2 linked regions of the Stegostoma tigrinum genome follow. The protein of the gene in region 1 purifies or fractionates together with the protein of each later gene. This does not show direct contact. Links are inferred from orthologs where the notes say so. Each region holds a gene or a part of one and is shown on either strand. Other genes may lie near its edges. The genes, in order: swsap1 and spidr.

Region 1 (8,264 bases):
CGAGAAGGATATGAGATAACGCTGGGCCCCGTCTGGTTTGCACAGCTCCTCTCTCACCGTGCACTTCACTGGAATGTAGCGCTCGATAATAGGCAGGAACGGATCTGCCGCATTGTCTTCTTGAATCGGAGCCTAAAGAGAAAAAAGAGCTGATCAGTCACTATTGGTTAATGTTGAAAGTAAAAAATCAGCAAGCAAGGTGTCTGCAGCAGCGAGCAGCTCTACAGTCTGTTCCCTGGGATGCACGTACAAAGTTAGGATCAGAAGTAGGCCATTTGGCCTGTACAGCATGCTGCAGTATTGAATAAGATCAGTCTGGGTTTTGAATTCCACATTCCTATCTACCCCCCCCACCCCCGCAATAACTCTGGATTCCACTGGTTAACAAGAATCCATCGCCTCTGCCTCAAAAACATTCAATGACCTATTCTCCACCAACTTCTGAAACAGAGGTCCAAAATCGTTGAGAGAAATAAAAAAGTCTCTTCTTCTCCTCTGGCCTCAAAGGGTAACCCCGATCTTCAAAAACAGTGCCCTCCTAATTTTAGATTGACTCACAGGAGGAACCACCCTATCAATGTTCAACACCATTGAGGACCTTACATACCTCAATCAAAGTCCAGTGGAAACTCCCTAGGAGCATTATAAAATAATAAGTTTCATGACTACAGAATTTTCAAAGTTATCTGGTCCTCATCATGTTGCTGTTGATGGAAACATACTGAATGTAAATTGGTTTCCAAACTCTACTTCAGCAACTAAACTGGAAAATACTGCACTGGCTACACTGTGCCTTGGAGATCTCAAAGTTACATCATGCCTTTTATGACCATGAGCTTTTCCTCTCGTTCTAAGTAACTAAGCCTGTTAGCTTTTGTCCCTTAATCCTATTCCCTTCCTCATTTTATTTTAAGTTCTAACTTTGCTTTAATGGCTTCTAGCACTTTTCCAATTTTCACTTTCTTAAAAAAAATCTTAATCTCTTTCTATCCTTTGGTGTCATCTCCCTTGCTCATGGGGACCAATCTAAAGATGACTATTTGACAGGCTCTAACTCACTATGCATTGCTTCCCCGCTGTAGATTGTTGTAGAATTGGACAAACACAAGGTAAAAGTTATTTTTTAAATAAAAGTATTGGGAAAAGACAAAAATGAGCAAACTATAACAAATAAAAGTAATGAAATATGTATTATCAAAATATAAGACTGAAATGATGCTAAAAATTGAGTAAACTAAAATTAGAATAAAGACATTTTACGACAATAACAAATCTGAGAAAAGGTCCTCAGAATAAACAATTTGCCATAGTCCACAAAACAAACCAGCATCTCTTTGCATTAGGGAGATACACAATGGAGTTCATCCAGCTTTATAGCCTGATGTACAGAATAAAACCAGAATGCATTATGCATCTATAATTCTACATTAAATACAACAAAGATATTTAAAAATACGAGAATAAAAACACATAAACATGATGCTAAAATTACACGAACTCAGAATGAAGTTTTTTTTATAGATTTAATTGTAATGGCAAAACATTAGATAAATAAAACCAGATTATATCACCATTCTATAGAAAATATAAGAAATATATTTTAAATAATAATTCTCACAGTTTTAACACACATATAGCTTGGGAGAGTAACCTCACTACTTTTACAAAGTACACGGGTGAGCACTTGAAATGTCATAATATTCAAGGCAATAGGCCAAGTGCTGGAAAGTGGGATTAGTATATATTTAGTTTAAATTTAGAATTATAGAGTTGTACAGCAAGGAAACAGACCCATCGGTTCAACTCATCTATGCTGACCAGATGTTCCAAATTAATCTTGACCCTTTTGCCAGCATTTGGCCCATTTCCCTCTAAACCCTTCCTATTCAAGTACCCAAGATAATAAAGTGTGAAGCTGGATGAACACAGCAGGCCAAGCAGCATCTCAAGAGCACAAAAGCTGACGTTTCGGGCCTAGACCCTGCAGTTCCCATTATCTCTGATACTATTCAAGTACCCATCCAGATGCCTTTTAAATGCTGTAATTGTACCAGCCTCCACCAGTTCCTCTGGCAGCTCATTCCATACACGCACCACCTTCTGGTGAAAAAAGTTGCCCCTTATGTCTCTTAAATCTTTCCCCTCTCACCCTAAACCTATGCCCTGCAGTTGTGGATTCCCTACCCTGGGGAAAAGACATTGGCCATTCACTTTTTCCATCCCTTCATGAACCTCGATGAAAGGTCACCCCTCAGCCTCTGATGCCCCAAGGAAAATAGCCCCAGCCTATTCAGCCTACCCCTACTGCTCAAACACTCCACCTTAGCAACATCCCTGTACGTCTTTCTTTGAATCCTTTCAAGTTTCAAGGTCTCCTTTTAGACTAGATTTACACTTAGTGTAGATTTGGCTGGTACAAATCCAATGGGCCGAATAGCCTCTCTTGCTTTGTATGAGTTAATTATAATGGTTAATTTATGGTGGAACAAATACACAATGTTTTAAGAATGACTATTTCGAATGAATTGCAGTTTGCCAGCGAGCTGTGCGCTTTTGCTCTCCACCTTCAGTGTTGCAATGACCTGACACTCTGTACCGGGCTGTAGTTTCTCACTGAGCCAGCAGGCACTGTCCCGGAGCAGGGCAGCGATCCTGGCCGCTTGCTGAGGCGTGTCCTGCCCGCAGCCCTGCAAGTACCGGTCCAGCCCGTCCAGCAAGAGCAGAGAGGGCAGCAGGCTGCGGGGGCTCTCATGCAAGCACGCTAACGCTTCCAGCAGCCCCCCCGCCGTCCTGGGGTAGGCGAACTGAATCCTCCGGAGGCTACCGGGCTCCAGCAGCAGCAGCGGGGCGGGCAGCGCCTGCACCGGGCTCGGGGAGAGGAAGAGCACTCGCTTCCCCCACTGGCCTGCGGCTTCGGCCGCCGCCAGGAACAGGAGGGATCTCCTCCCAGGGGACTCCTCACCCAGCAGCAGGCAAGCCCCTAGGTCCCTGGCTCCCCAACCCTTGGCTATATCAATCCTGCTCTCTGCCTCGCTGTGAGAGCAGAGAACATGCAACAAAACCTCCGCCATCCCTCATTCAAAACTGATGCACTTCCTGGTTCACAAGTAACAAAACCCCGCTTTGGATACTTTCAATATATCCATTCCCAGGACCTCAGACTGCCGAATACTAAAGCAAAGTTTATGCTGAACTTCCGAAAACAGTTGGGTCCAAATTTGGAATACTAGCATCTTAAATGCTATTAAAATTGCCCAATTTATCTGCAAATTTTTTTGAGGGGTTCATCCGCCTCACAATCTTCATTGGCTGTGCAAGCTGTTCATTAAGTTCTGCAGCAGTCACACGAGGCTGCAAACTGTTGCTTTCCCTCAGGTAGAGCTAGACCTGCTGGTTTTTTATTTCTTTAACTAGGTGATGCTCAACTTCCAAAGTGCATTCCCTGACCCACTCCTCATTGCCAGTATTTTTTTGTAAAGATCTTTAAAAAAAAATAGAAAATATAGAGATAGTAGGAAATGCCGATGCTGGAGAATATGAGATAACAAGGTGTAGAGATAACACAGTGTGAAGCTGGATGAACACAGCAGGCCACGCAGCATCAGAGGAGCAGGAAAGCTGATATTTCGGGTCTGGACACCAAAATATAGGGAGACACCGTTTAAGAATTGAAGGCCAATCTGCTAAATGATATAAATAAAAACGTTTCTATGAAAAACATTCTGAATTGATTTCAACTCTGGTCTGCAAATTAAAGGGGAAGTGGTATATAGTGAGACTAGCCACCCAGAACCACAGACTAATGGCCTGAGGAAATGAGTTTAATCCCACCATAAGAAGTAAGAGCAGGAGGAAGCCATCAGGCCCCTCAACCCTGCTCTGCCATTCAATAAGATCATGGTTGATCAGTTTCATGCACTTAGCTCCGCTTACCCATGTGTTCACCATAATGCCTAATCCTTCCACTGTTCAAAGTCCTATCATTGCCTTAAAAATGTTCACTGCTTCACTGGGCAGGGAATTCCACAAATTGACAACTCTCGGGGGGAGATGTTCCTCCTCAACTCAGTCCTGAATCTGCTCCCCTTTATTTTGAGGCTATGCCCCTAGCTTTAGTTTCACCTGTGAGTGGAATCAACATGCCTGCTACCATAGCAGCAGATGCAAGTTAAATTAACACAAAGGGAAAACTCTTATTAAAAAAAATACTCATCAGGTTCTTCAATACCATTTAGGGGACGGAGACAGAAAATTTACAAAGAATCCATTCAGCCCACTGTGTCTGCATGGCTGAATACATTAGCCACTCAGTGTAGTCTCACTTAGCAACACCTGGCTATAGTCTTGCAGGTTACAGCATTTCAGGGGCAGATCAGATTCCTTTTGAAATGCAAAGGGTCTAGGCCCGAAACGTCAGCTTTCCTGCTCCTCTGATGCTGTTTGGCCTGCTGTGTTCATCCAACTCGCCACCTTATTATCTCCAATTTTCAAAACCTGATAACATTCTTGTGTATCTTCCCTGTGCTCTCTTAATGAGAATTATGTACTTCCTGTAATGTGGTGATCAGATCAGTGTAGAAAATTACAGTGATGGCCTAATCAGTGACTTATATTGTTCCAGCATACCATTCCTCTTTTTTTATTCACTCACGGCACATGGGCATCACTGACTAGCCCAGCATTTATTGCCCAACTCCAGTTGCTCCTGAAAAGATGGTGTTAAGCTGCTTGCTTGAACCACTGCATTCCATGTATAGGCCCATTAGAGAGGGAATTCTGCAATTTTGACCCAGCGGCACTGAAGGAATGATGATATCTTTCCAAGTGAGGATGGTGAATGGCCTGGCTTTTCAATATCTTGCCCAATGGAGGAAAGCATTCACTTTAGCTTTTTTATGAACTTACCTCCACATCCTGCCATCGTTAAGCACATGTCAACATACACTCAAAGGTCTCTCACTTCCTCAAAACCCTCCTGTTTGTGGTATATTGCTTTGCTTTGTTTGTTTTTCGCAAATGCATAACCTCACTCTTCACCAAATCGAATTTTGACAAACAACTTAAATTTTATTTGCATAAAATTCTCAGAGACACTGTCTTAACAGAGAACTCCTCAGGAAGGACTCTGACTAAACGTGCTCAGAGAGAAGATTCTCAATAAACCAGAGTGCAAGGAAAAGGACTTTCTGGAATCAACCACTGTTCTGCGGGAAGAGTCGTAGCAGTTGGTAAGTGGCATTAACAACTAGTGAGGAACAAGAAATCTCTCACTCATTCAAAGCCTGCACGAGCTACTGACTCCACCAGTACAAACAACATTCAACTACTGAAGCCATCTAAGCTCCTGAATTCATCTTTTGAACTTCTTCACCTTAGAAAAACAAATCTTCAAGCAATTAACAGGCTGCAAGAGATTGAGCTTATTTATTTCAAGAGCTGTTTCAGGTATGATGGTCCAAATGTGCTCACCTGGCACCGTAACAATTCTGTGGTTTTTCTAATCATTATAAGTATCTTTTATCAGCATCTACATTTAATCTTTGTGTCTTTATTTTAACTAATAGTTATCACATTCCTCTCTCATTACTTGACATTGTGTAATTAACTAACCTTTGATTTTATATGAAGCCACATGTTTACTGCTTGTTATTTTCAAAAGCGGAACACTCAAAATTCGAAGAGGGGGAAATAAATGAGATATATGAATGTGCAGATCACGTACCACTCTTTCGACATCGCAGCAGGGTGATGGTAGATTCTAATGAATTAGAATCATTCACTCATAGGGCTAAATAACAACTCAAAGAAATTCAGACATTGTTAATCAGAAACAAGAACAGAAATTGCTGGAAAAGCTCAGCTGGTCAGGCAGCATCTGTGGAGAAGCAGTGTTAATGCTTCAAAACATGGTTCTTCTTTGTACGACTCAAAACATTACCTCAGTTTTTTACCCTTCCACAATTGCTGCCAGATCCGCTAAGCTTTTCCAGCAATTTCTATTTTTGTTACTTATAGGGACTGTTGTTCAATGCTTGATGAAAATTCTCATATCAAATTTAATTTTTGATCTTGTGCCTCTGACAAATGCAGAGGAGCTAGGAATATGGAAATAGTGGCAATGGCATGGACTCATACCTCAGAGGCCCAGGCTGCCTATTCTGGGGATACAGCTTTAGGTCACACATCAGCAGCTGATGGAAATTACATTCACCTGATAAAGTGAAACTTAAGCTCAGTAGTAATGACCTTGATAACTGAACATCATTACTGACATTAGTTTTTGATTTACCAGTTGAATTGTTACCTTGTAAACTGGGGATAGGGTGGTGCATCTGATGCCGGATCAAAATATTGCATGTAATTTGCTACTTTTCAATTATTGGGATTTTGTGAGGCAATGGTGTTGTAGTAATGTTGCTGGATGAGTATTCCAGAATTCCAGGCTAATGTTCTGAGGACATGGGTCTGAATACCACCGTGGCACATTTTGAAAACTCAATGGGAATTTGGAAATTTGACTACGATAACTGTTAAGACCCAGACAATGTTCTGGGGACCTGGGTTTGAATCCTGCTATGGCAGATGGTGGAATCTGAATTCAATAAAAATGTGAAATTAAAGTCTAATGGAGATTATAAAACCATTGTTAATTGTCAGGAAAAACACATCTGCCTCATTAATGTCCTTTAGGAAAAGAAACTACCATCCTTACCTGGTCTGGCCTACATGTGACTCCAAACCCACAGCAATGGGGTTCACTGTTAACTGCCCTCCTGGCAATAAATGCTGCCTAGCCAGTGATGCCCTCATCCAATGAATCAATAATAAAAAAGGACAACACAAGAGCAGGATGCAGTGTGGATAAAAGTTTTCATCCTAGCTTTAATTGAGTAATAAGGGAAGACTGGAGGAACTTGACGTTTTCAACCTGAAATGAAGAGGTCCTGTAGACAGATATTAATTAACGAAACAGAAAAGACACATCTGGAATATTGCCATGAACTGAAAAAAAATCACAAAGTAGATATGTATAAACTAGAAAAAGGCACATTTTACATCAAATTTTTATTTGTGATTTCTTTTTAACAGCAAAAAAGGCAATCTATCCAATTCAGTTCATCAGAACCCCTTACACCAATGTTTCCTTTTTCCATTCTTGTCCATTAATTAAACCCTTTGCACATAAAGTTATTTTTCCAAACCTCCTTTCTCCATAAACCACCTTTCTAATCCACTTGGCCTCTAAAGTCCCATTTCTCCAATTCCCTCTTTCTCTTCAATTCTATTCCCTCTAATAAATTCCCTTTTCTCTGAAATAACCTCCCATTACTCTAAAACTCCAATTCTCTATTCAATTGTTTTCCCTAAATTCCTCTTCTGAGCTGGGATCATAGACCAAGATCTATATTCCACCAACATTTCCAAGGTTAATACTAGAGATTACCTGGCTAGACGCCTGCTGAAATGTTAGTCTTTGTTTTTTATTCATATAGCAGACGTGTGTATCACTGGCTGGGTAAGCATAGCCCATTCCTAGTTTCCCTGGAGAAGATGATGGTGATCTGCTTGGGGGCAAATAGGGATAGGGAATCTGTGCTGGTCCAGACACTAAAGCCTACTTCCAACAAATGAAGAAAAAAATTTCAATGTAAAAATTAAATATGAGGATATCAAGCGCTGGAGCCCATGACTATTTCCTGTGACAGCTTGTTTCATTGTGAGATTGTTTTTAAAGGAAAGTTGATGCCCTGCCTTGGAACACAAAGTCATTTTATTTTAGATAGAATCATCATAGAATTCCACAGGATGGAGGCAGGCCATTCGGCCCATCGAGTCCACACCAATTCTCTGAACAACATCCCACTCGGACCCCCTGCTCTGTAACCCTGCATTTCGCATAGCTAATCCACCTACCCTGCATATTCCTGGACACAATGGGCAATTTGGCACCGCCAATCCACCTAATCTGCACAACTTTGACTGTGGGAGGAAACCACTGTCGTGTAGGGAGCAAAAGCAGGCCATTCGGCCCATTTAAACTGCTCTCCCATTCAATGAGATCATGGTTAATCCAATAATGCTTAAATCCACTTTCAATATCACCCTTGATTCTCTTATCAATTAAAAATCTGTCCATGTCAGCCTTGCGTATATTTAATCATGCTTCCCCTGCAGTAAAGAATTTCACAGATTGACTACCCTCAGCAGAAACTGGTGTTCTGTTCCCTGTTCTCCACAATCCTCAATCCCTTTCCCATTGACAG
Region 2 (7,316 bases), on another chromosome or scaffold:
AAAGTCCATAAGTGCATAACATGTATGACACTATTGAACGGTCAGCAATGTCCTCACCAGCACCATCTCTGGGTGTACCCTGTCCTAGGTAACAGAATAGATCCAAAACAGGCAGAAACCTCATAGGCTACAGTCAAGGAGGAGCATGACTGGGATTTCTCAACAATGATTTCAGCTCTATGAAGTTTCATTGCATCAGGTGAAGTGTGCATGGAAGCCAAGACAACAAGGTGTGGAGCTGGATGAACATTGCAGGCCAAGCAGCATCTTAGGAGCAGGAAAGCTTATCAAGAAAGCCATCTGTTGTTTACCATCTATCAGCATCTTTCAGTTGATGGAGCACTGGTAATAACGCACATCACCACAAGTGACTTAATAGCACTATAACAGATGGAGCTAACTTCAAAAGTAGATCACACTTTTATATGGGTGGCACGGTGGCTAGCACTGCTGCCTCACAGCGCCAGGGACCTGGATTGGGCAACTGTCCGTGTGGTGTTTGCACGTTCTCCCCCTGTCTGTGTGGGTTTCCTCCAGGTGCTCTAGTTTACTCCCACCGTCTTGGATTGGCCATGCTAAAATGCCTGTAGTGTTCAGAAATGTGTGGATTAGTGGGTTATAGGGGGATGGATCTGGGTGGGATGCTCTGAGGGTCAATGTGGACTTGTTCGGCTGAAGAGCCTGTTTCCACACTGTAGGGATTCTATGATCCTAGTTGTAGAATGGGCATGTCTGAATTTTGGAAGGACTGAAAATGAATTAACATATAGGGTAGTGACCCTCATTTTTGTATTGATGACGCAAATCTGCACATTTAGTGTTGGCCTGATTTTTCTTGATACGCACTTCCATTTCAGATATACATCAATTCCATCACTTCAAACATCGTCTTTTGACTACTAAATAAACTATCAGTGTTCCCTTGCGTGAACATGTTCCCGTTCTTCCCTTTGCTTTGTTCCTTTGGAAATTTCTGTCATGTCTATTCCTGTTGACCAACCTAAATCTGACACACACAGCAAGGAAACTGTTCGTCTACACATGACCGAGTGTTCCCTGCATTTTCTGTTCTGAGGAAGGGTCACCAGATCCGTTTTCTCCTTCACAGATGCTGCCAGATCTGCTGAGTTTTTCCAGCAACTTTGTTTTTGTTCCTGATTTACAGCATCCGCAGTTCTTTTTCCCATGTTTGCCTCTGCTTTCCTTGAGGTAGGAGCAGTGTCTGCTACTGAATTGACCCGCCCACCAGCCAGTAAAAGTCAGCATGGAGAATAGCACTGTTTCCCCGGCGACAGGAGATGGGCTCTAAGATGCCCCATCAACAGCCTATCATTTTCTGTCTGCCTAACACCCCGCCGTTGTAAATACCGCGCAATTAACACCTTAAAAAGTACCCTCATACCTTCCTGCTGCTGGACATGCCGCCGCCCGATCCCCTCAGGCCCAAACACAGGCTTCAACCGGCATCACTGGCCTCTGTGTTACGACAGCAGTGTGGGCGGAGTCAAAACTACGGCTGCGTAAAGTTGCTCTACAATCTATGAGCCCGCATGATTTCTCTGAATTATGCCAGTGCTACAATGTATTAGTCAGCATGATTTTGCTCTCAAAAAAGTTACAAAATGTCAAGGTATTCAGATACTAAACCAGAGAAGACGTTATGTACCCCATCTACAATCTGCCGATGCAGTATTATAGAACATAGAACATTACAGCACAGTACAGGCCCTTCGGCCTTCGATGTTGTGCCGAACTGTCATACCAACCTGAAGCCCATCTAACCTACACTATTCCATGTACTATATCCATATGCTTGTCCAATGACAACTTAAATGTACTTAAAGTTGGTGAATCTACTACCGTTGCAGGCAAAGCATTCCATTCCCTTACTGCTTAATATCCACAAAATAATCCAAATTTACAAATTACAAGGTGGGACAAATGCTGACAGATTCCCATCCATCACAGGGCACGAGTGATAACACCAATTTAAAAAAAGGTCCTTCCCTTAACTCTGGAGAGAATGGCCTTTCCAATCTCAGGTAGCTCTATAGGCACGACCAAGGATTTTGCCACATTAATACTCTGAAAGTAACAAAATCATAACCCGAAACAAAATTGTATCTTTCATACCTACTGAATGGTTACCAACAGACACAGCTTGCAGGACAGATCTGATGGTGACCTTTGTACCACTTCTTCTCACCCATAAATCTTCACTCCCTAAAAGATATAAAATTTAACTCATCCTTAAATATATTCCAAGTCCAATCCTTGAGGTAGGGAATTCCAAAGTTTGATAACACTTTGAGCAAAGCAATTGTTCCTCAACTGAGTCTTGAAATGTGAGGTATTTTAGTTTTGTTGTATAAGGCAGTTAGCCTGAATGAGTTAACTTGGAATCTTTGGAATAGCCCACCGCATATCTAAACTGTTGTTTCTGAGAAGAGTTAGTTTATTTGTTATGATTTATGTCATAGCTAGAAGGCATGAAGAGAAATTCCAAAGAAAACTGTATACTCTTCTTTATGCCTGAGTTTAAAATCTCCTTCTTAAAAAGAGAACACCCTTGCTGGACAATGAAAAGGTTTTGGCTGATCATATTTCCAGAAGCTTCTGAATCCTCACATTGTGCAAACATTCCAACTAAAACAAACAAAGGATCTTGGAGTCAAGCTGCCTGCTTCTATCCATCTCTGGACAAAGGAAAATATCAATTATTAACTTATGCTAAAGCTTTTGTCATCTTATTACCTCACAATGGAAACCCTAATGGGGGAGTAAAACTATACTCAGTTTAACAGCCTTCTAATTAGCACACTAAAATAGGCAATCGGCACCTGAATGCCTGGCCTTGTCACATGACTGAAATCAGGACGGATGAATTGCTTCTACAGTTCTGGGATTCCAAGTTACTACTTGACTAGGGTAGCAGGGGTAATGGATACTCCTCTCTGTTAAAATATAACTCCAGATAAACTGATTTTTAATACTTCTGAATTTCCCAAAACTTGTAAATTATAATCCATCTCCTCTTCTGTCCTTTCTTAATTTCCTGTGTACTTGTGTGATTGAATCTTAACCTTCCTCTGGGAAGTTAAGAATGAGAATTAATGCTAGCCTTGCTATTGATGCCTATATCCTGTGAATGAATTTTCAAAAGCTCCATGAATTTATGACAGGTTAACTAAATTAATACTAAGTTGCTGGAAAAGCTTAGCAGGTCGGGCAGCATCTGTGAAGGAGAAAACAAGAGTTAACGTTTCAGGTCCGGTTCTGAGCAAAGGTGACTGGACCCGAATGACTAATTTATGATTGCTTTACACCTCTTAAGGTCAAGACGTGATAGATTGGTTCTATGTAATGTTTTCTGTTAATCATGCACTTTATATTAGACCAACATTGTTCCCCAAACTCTTGTTTTCAGATTCTATTTTTGAGATTAAACTGCAGCACAATGCTTCTAACGTGAAACGAAGGGTCAAAATCCTGGAATTCCCTCTGTAGCAACACTGTGGGTCTAATCACAATGGGTATTGTTCATTTTTTGCTTATTGCAAACCAGTGTCATTTTGGAGAGAATTGCTACCTGTTTCTTTCTTGCCAGCTTATAGTATTTGGTTTCAGTTAGATGTGGTTGGTGACCATTAATCACATGATTCCCACTCTGCTGCTTTGAACTGGCCATCTCTTGAGTGCAACATGTGCAGTCAATGGCACCCTGCATCTGGGACAAGTCAGTTATGTTTCCAAACACAGACTGCAGTGGTTCAAGAAGGCAGCTCAACATCACCTTTGCCAGGGCAACTCAAGGTGGGCAATAAATGTTGGCTCAACCAGTAATGCTCATGTCCTAGAAGGGAATAAAATAAAACAAAGATATAGTTTATTAACAAACATTCATTTGTACAGTGAAGTAAGGTTTCTCTTTTTATTCTCCATTCTCCTTGGGATAAATGTCAAATTTTTACTTCAGTTTTCCTGTGCTTCATGTACAGGTTACCCAAATCCGTCAAGATGACAGCATTCAACAGACTACATTTCAATAATATTCTGCAACATCCTTCCACTTAAAAATACTAAACAATAATTTTCTATTCTTTCTACCAATCTCACATCTTACTCAAAAAGACTATTTGCCAAATTTTTGTCCACTGATTTAAATATGTCCAATTACACACTCTTTGGGGAGAATTTAAAGCTATCCCCTGATGTGAGTTTGGCAGAGGTGGCACCATTGCTGCCATTCCAACTCTGCCCCCATTTAGCCTAGGATAGGAAAGGTTGTGGTCAGGCTTCCACACTGACAGCAATTCTTTTATTTATTCTTTCATGGGATAGAAACATCTCTAGCAAGGCAGACATCAGTTCCTCATTCCTAATTACCCTTGAGCTGAATTTTTATTTTTATTTCAGAGGCAGTTAAGTCACAATGTTGTATACGTGAAGTCACATGAAAGCCAGAGGTAACAAAGTGTGGAGCTGGATGAACACAGCAGGCCAAGCAGCATCTTAGGAGCACAAAAGCTGACATTTCAGGCCTAGATGGGTCTAGGCTCGAAACATAAACTTTTGTGCTCCTAAGATGCTGCTTGGCCTGCTGTGTTCATCCAGCTCCACACTTTGTTATCTCGGATTCTCCAGCATCTGCAATTCCCATTATCTCTGATCACATGAAAGCTAGTTCAGGTAATATCAGATGTCTTTCCCTAAAAGTCACTGACAAACCTGGTAGTTTTCACAACAACTGATTATAGTTTTATGGTCATTATTTCTGAGCTATTTTCAATTCCCTATTTACTAATTAATTGAATTTAAATTGCAGCAACTGCCACGGTGGGATTGAAATTGTATCACTGGGAAATTGGGCATTTGGATTCTAGATTAGAGGCATTATCTTTTACTATCTACCCAGTAATTTCCCTTTAAATTGGTCATTGATGCCCACTTGAGCAGCATGATGGCTCTATGGCTAGCACTGCTGCCTTGCAGTGCCAGAGACCCAGGTTCAATTCCAGACTTGGGTGACTGTCTCTGTGGAGTTTTCACATACTCCTGTGTCTGTGTGGGTTTTCTCCCACAGTCCAAAGGTGTGTGCGCTAGGTGGATTGGTTATTTTAAAAATTGCCTATAGTGTCCAGAGGTGTGTAGGCTAGATCGATTAGCCATGGTAAATGTGGGGTTATGGGGATTGGGCTGGGTCTACATGGCATGCTCTTCAGAGGTTCGGTGTGGATTTGATGGGTCAAATGGCTGCTGTTTGCACTGTAGGGATTCTATGATGAAAGGCCATATCCCATCACTACAGGTATTCAACTAGCGGCAAATGCTAGGATTAAGGACAACCTATTCTTCTCTGCTCAACCCTGCCAAATCCTTAGCCAGCAACTCCTCCACAAGACCCAAGAATTGGACTAATTTCCACTTCTCATGTCCTCGTCAGAACTCACTTTCATACCTATGGTTGTTATTGTCCTCTTTGCTGCGACACAAACTGTGTACAATTTAATATTCATTGTAAATAATTAGAGCCCCCTCACTTTTTTCATGCAGCACTCTACTAGTTCCAGTTTTGCAAACAGAAAATTACCCACTTGTCTTGACTAAGACAACAAAGTGTGAAGCTGGATGAACACAGCAGGCCAAGCAGCATCTCAGGAGCACAAAAATTGACAAATCGGGCCTAGACAGAGAGCGCTCTCTGATGCAGGGTCCAGGCCTGAAACGTCAGCTTTTGTGCTCCTGAGATGCTGCTTGGCCTGCTGTGTTCATCCAGCTTCACACTTTGTTATCTTGGATTCTCCAGCATCTGCAGTTCCCATTATCCCTTGTCTTGACTCTCTGTTCTTGGAATCAAGAAACTGTTGAGGATAAGGGGAAAAATTTAACTGTTAAGATGAGATGCATTTGGGAATAGGTGGAGAATTAAAGCCCTGAAAGGTGTTGTGTCATGTCATGAATTTGAAAATGTTTGCTTTTGATTTTAAAATGGGCAGTGTTAAAGGACTTTCAGTCCCAGAATAAAAGATCAGTCATTTAGTTCTGAGATATGGAAAAAGTTTTTCAAGAGCTGTAAACTTTTAGAAATTCTTTACACCAACAAGTTGTAAACATTTAGTTATTGAGTATATGCAAGATGTAAATGATAGATTTTTGGGAAGTACGGGATATGGGGATATTGCAGGATGACAGAATCAATGTGGAAGATCAGACATTATCATGCTAAACAGTGGGAAAGGCCATCAGGGTCTAATTGACTACTCCATCATAGTTGTAGTTAAGAAAGATTGAACAGATGGAACTATAACCCTTACGAGTTCAGAACAGTCAAAGATTATCTGATTGAAACATACAAGAATTATCTTCGACAAACAGCTGTAGGGTCTGGGTCACTAAATATTTTCAAGGCTGAGTTAGATTTTTGATGGACAAGGGCTTCAGATCTTATGTCTGAAGGGGAACCAGAAAGGAAAGTGGAGTTCATAGCAAAATCAGATCAGTAATGATCATATTAAGTGGTGGATCAGGTTCAAAGAGCTAAGTGACCTACTGCTACTCCTAAATCCTATGGTCCTATGTTCTCAATTAACTATTAATGTAAGTAGGTATCTTGGCTTTAACAGAGAGTGCATGAATTTTCTGAGCTATTTATACCTTTGCAGGAGCAGGAAAACAACAGGACAATGGGAATGCTACTGTAATAAAACTACTGACCAGGAAGCCATAGCAACAAACAGGGCAGGTAAGTGGCTGTTCACAACATTTCTTCTCAGCATGGTTTTCTGCTTCTTGACAAGTAATCTCCATCTTCTTGGAAGTCAACTCACCCTGCCTGGTTTTGGTAAACTTTGTCTGCACTATCCTGCTGCCAGTCTTCACTGGAGCAATTCTACAGCATATATATCTGTGTCTTGCAATTTGAATGAGTATCAAGCACAGCATCACCAAAACCAACAGCAATACCAGTTGTCTTCCCCTCAGCAAAATGCTGCTGCAAAGGGCAGACCTGTTTGGCACAGATATCAAACTGGACGGAGGCGCAACTTCCCAACATAGGCAGATGATCATCCCTCTTGACATGAGGGAACCAACGTCTTAGGCTCTCACAGCAGGTTACTGTTGACATCGGAGGCCTCCTGAAACAAGACAAGCTTCCCAGTAGATCATGTGCTCATGTACTTCAGTGCTCAAAGTGTCTGTTACTAGAGGTGCTATTTCCAGTTTCTGCCTTTCCTCAGAGTTGTGCATTATCTTCTTCCTGCAAAGCAAAATAGCAGAGCTGTATGAGAAGAGAATTGTGTGAAGAGGGAAGGATG

What was found.
Region 2: the proteins of swsap1 (region 1) and spidr purify together in Homo sapiens (co-immunoprecipitation; 3 studies listed by BioGRID and IntAct, with this or other methods). This does not show direct contact. The link is inferred for Stegostoma tigrinum from reciprocal best matches to the Homo sapiens genes SWSAP1 and SPIDR.

What each region holds. Positions count from the first base shown.
Region 1 is NC_081388.1:14,337,441-14,345,704, forward strand, and holds the start of swsap1 (ATPase SWSAP1), read right to left. Parts: upstream 3,096-8,264; 5' UTR 3,072-3,095; coding exon 2,565-3,071; intron 133-2,564; coding exon 1-132. UniProt on the Homo sapiens protein: ATPase which is preferentially stimulated by single-stranded DNA and is involved in homologous recombination repair (HRR). Has a DNA-binding activity which is independent of its ATPase activity.
Region 2 is NC_081358.1:72,679,255-72,686,570, forward strand, and holds the start of spidr (DNA repair-scaffolding protein), read right to left. Parts: upstream 3,160-7,316; 5' UTR 1,421-3,159; coding exon 1,403-1,420; intron 1-1,402. UniProt on the Homo sapiens protein: Plays a role in DNA double-strand break (DBS) repair via homologous recombination (HR).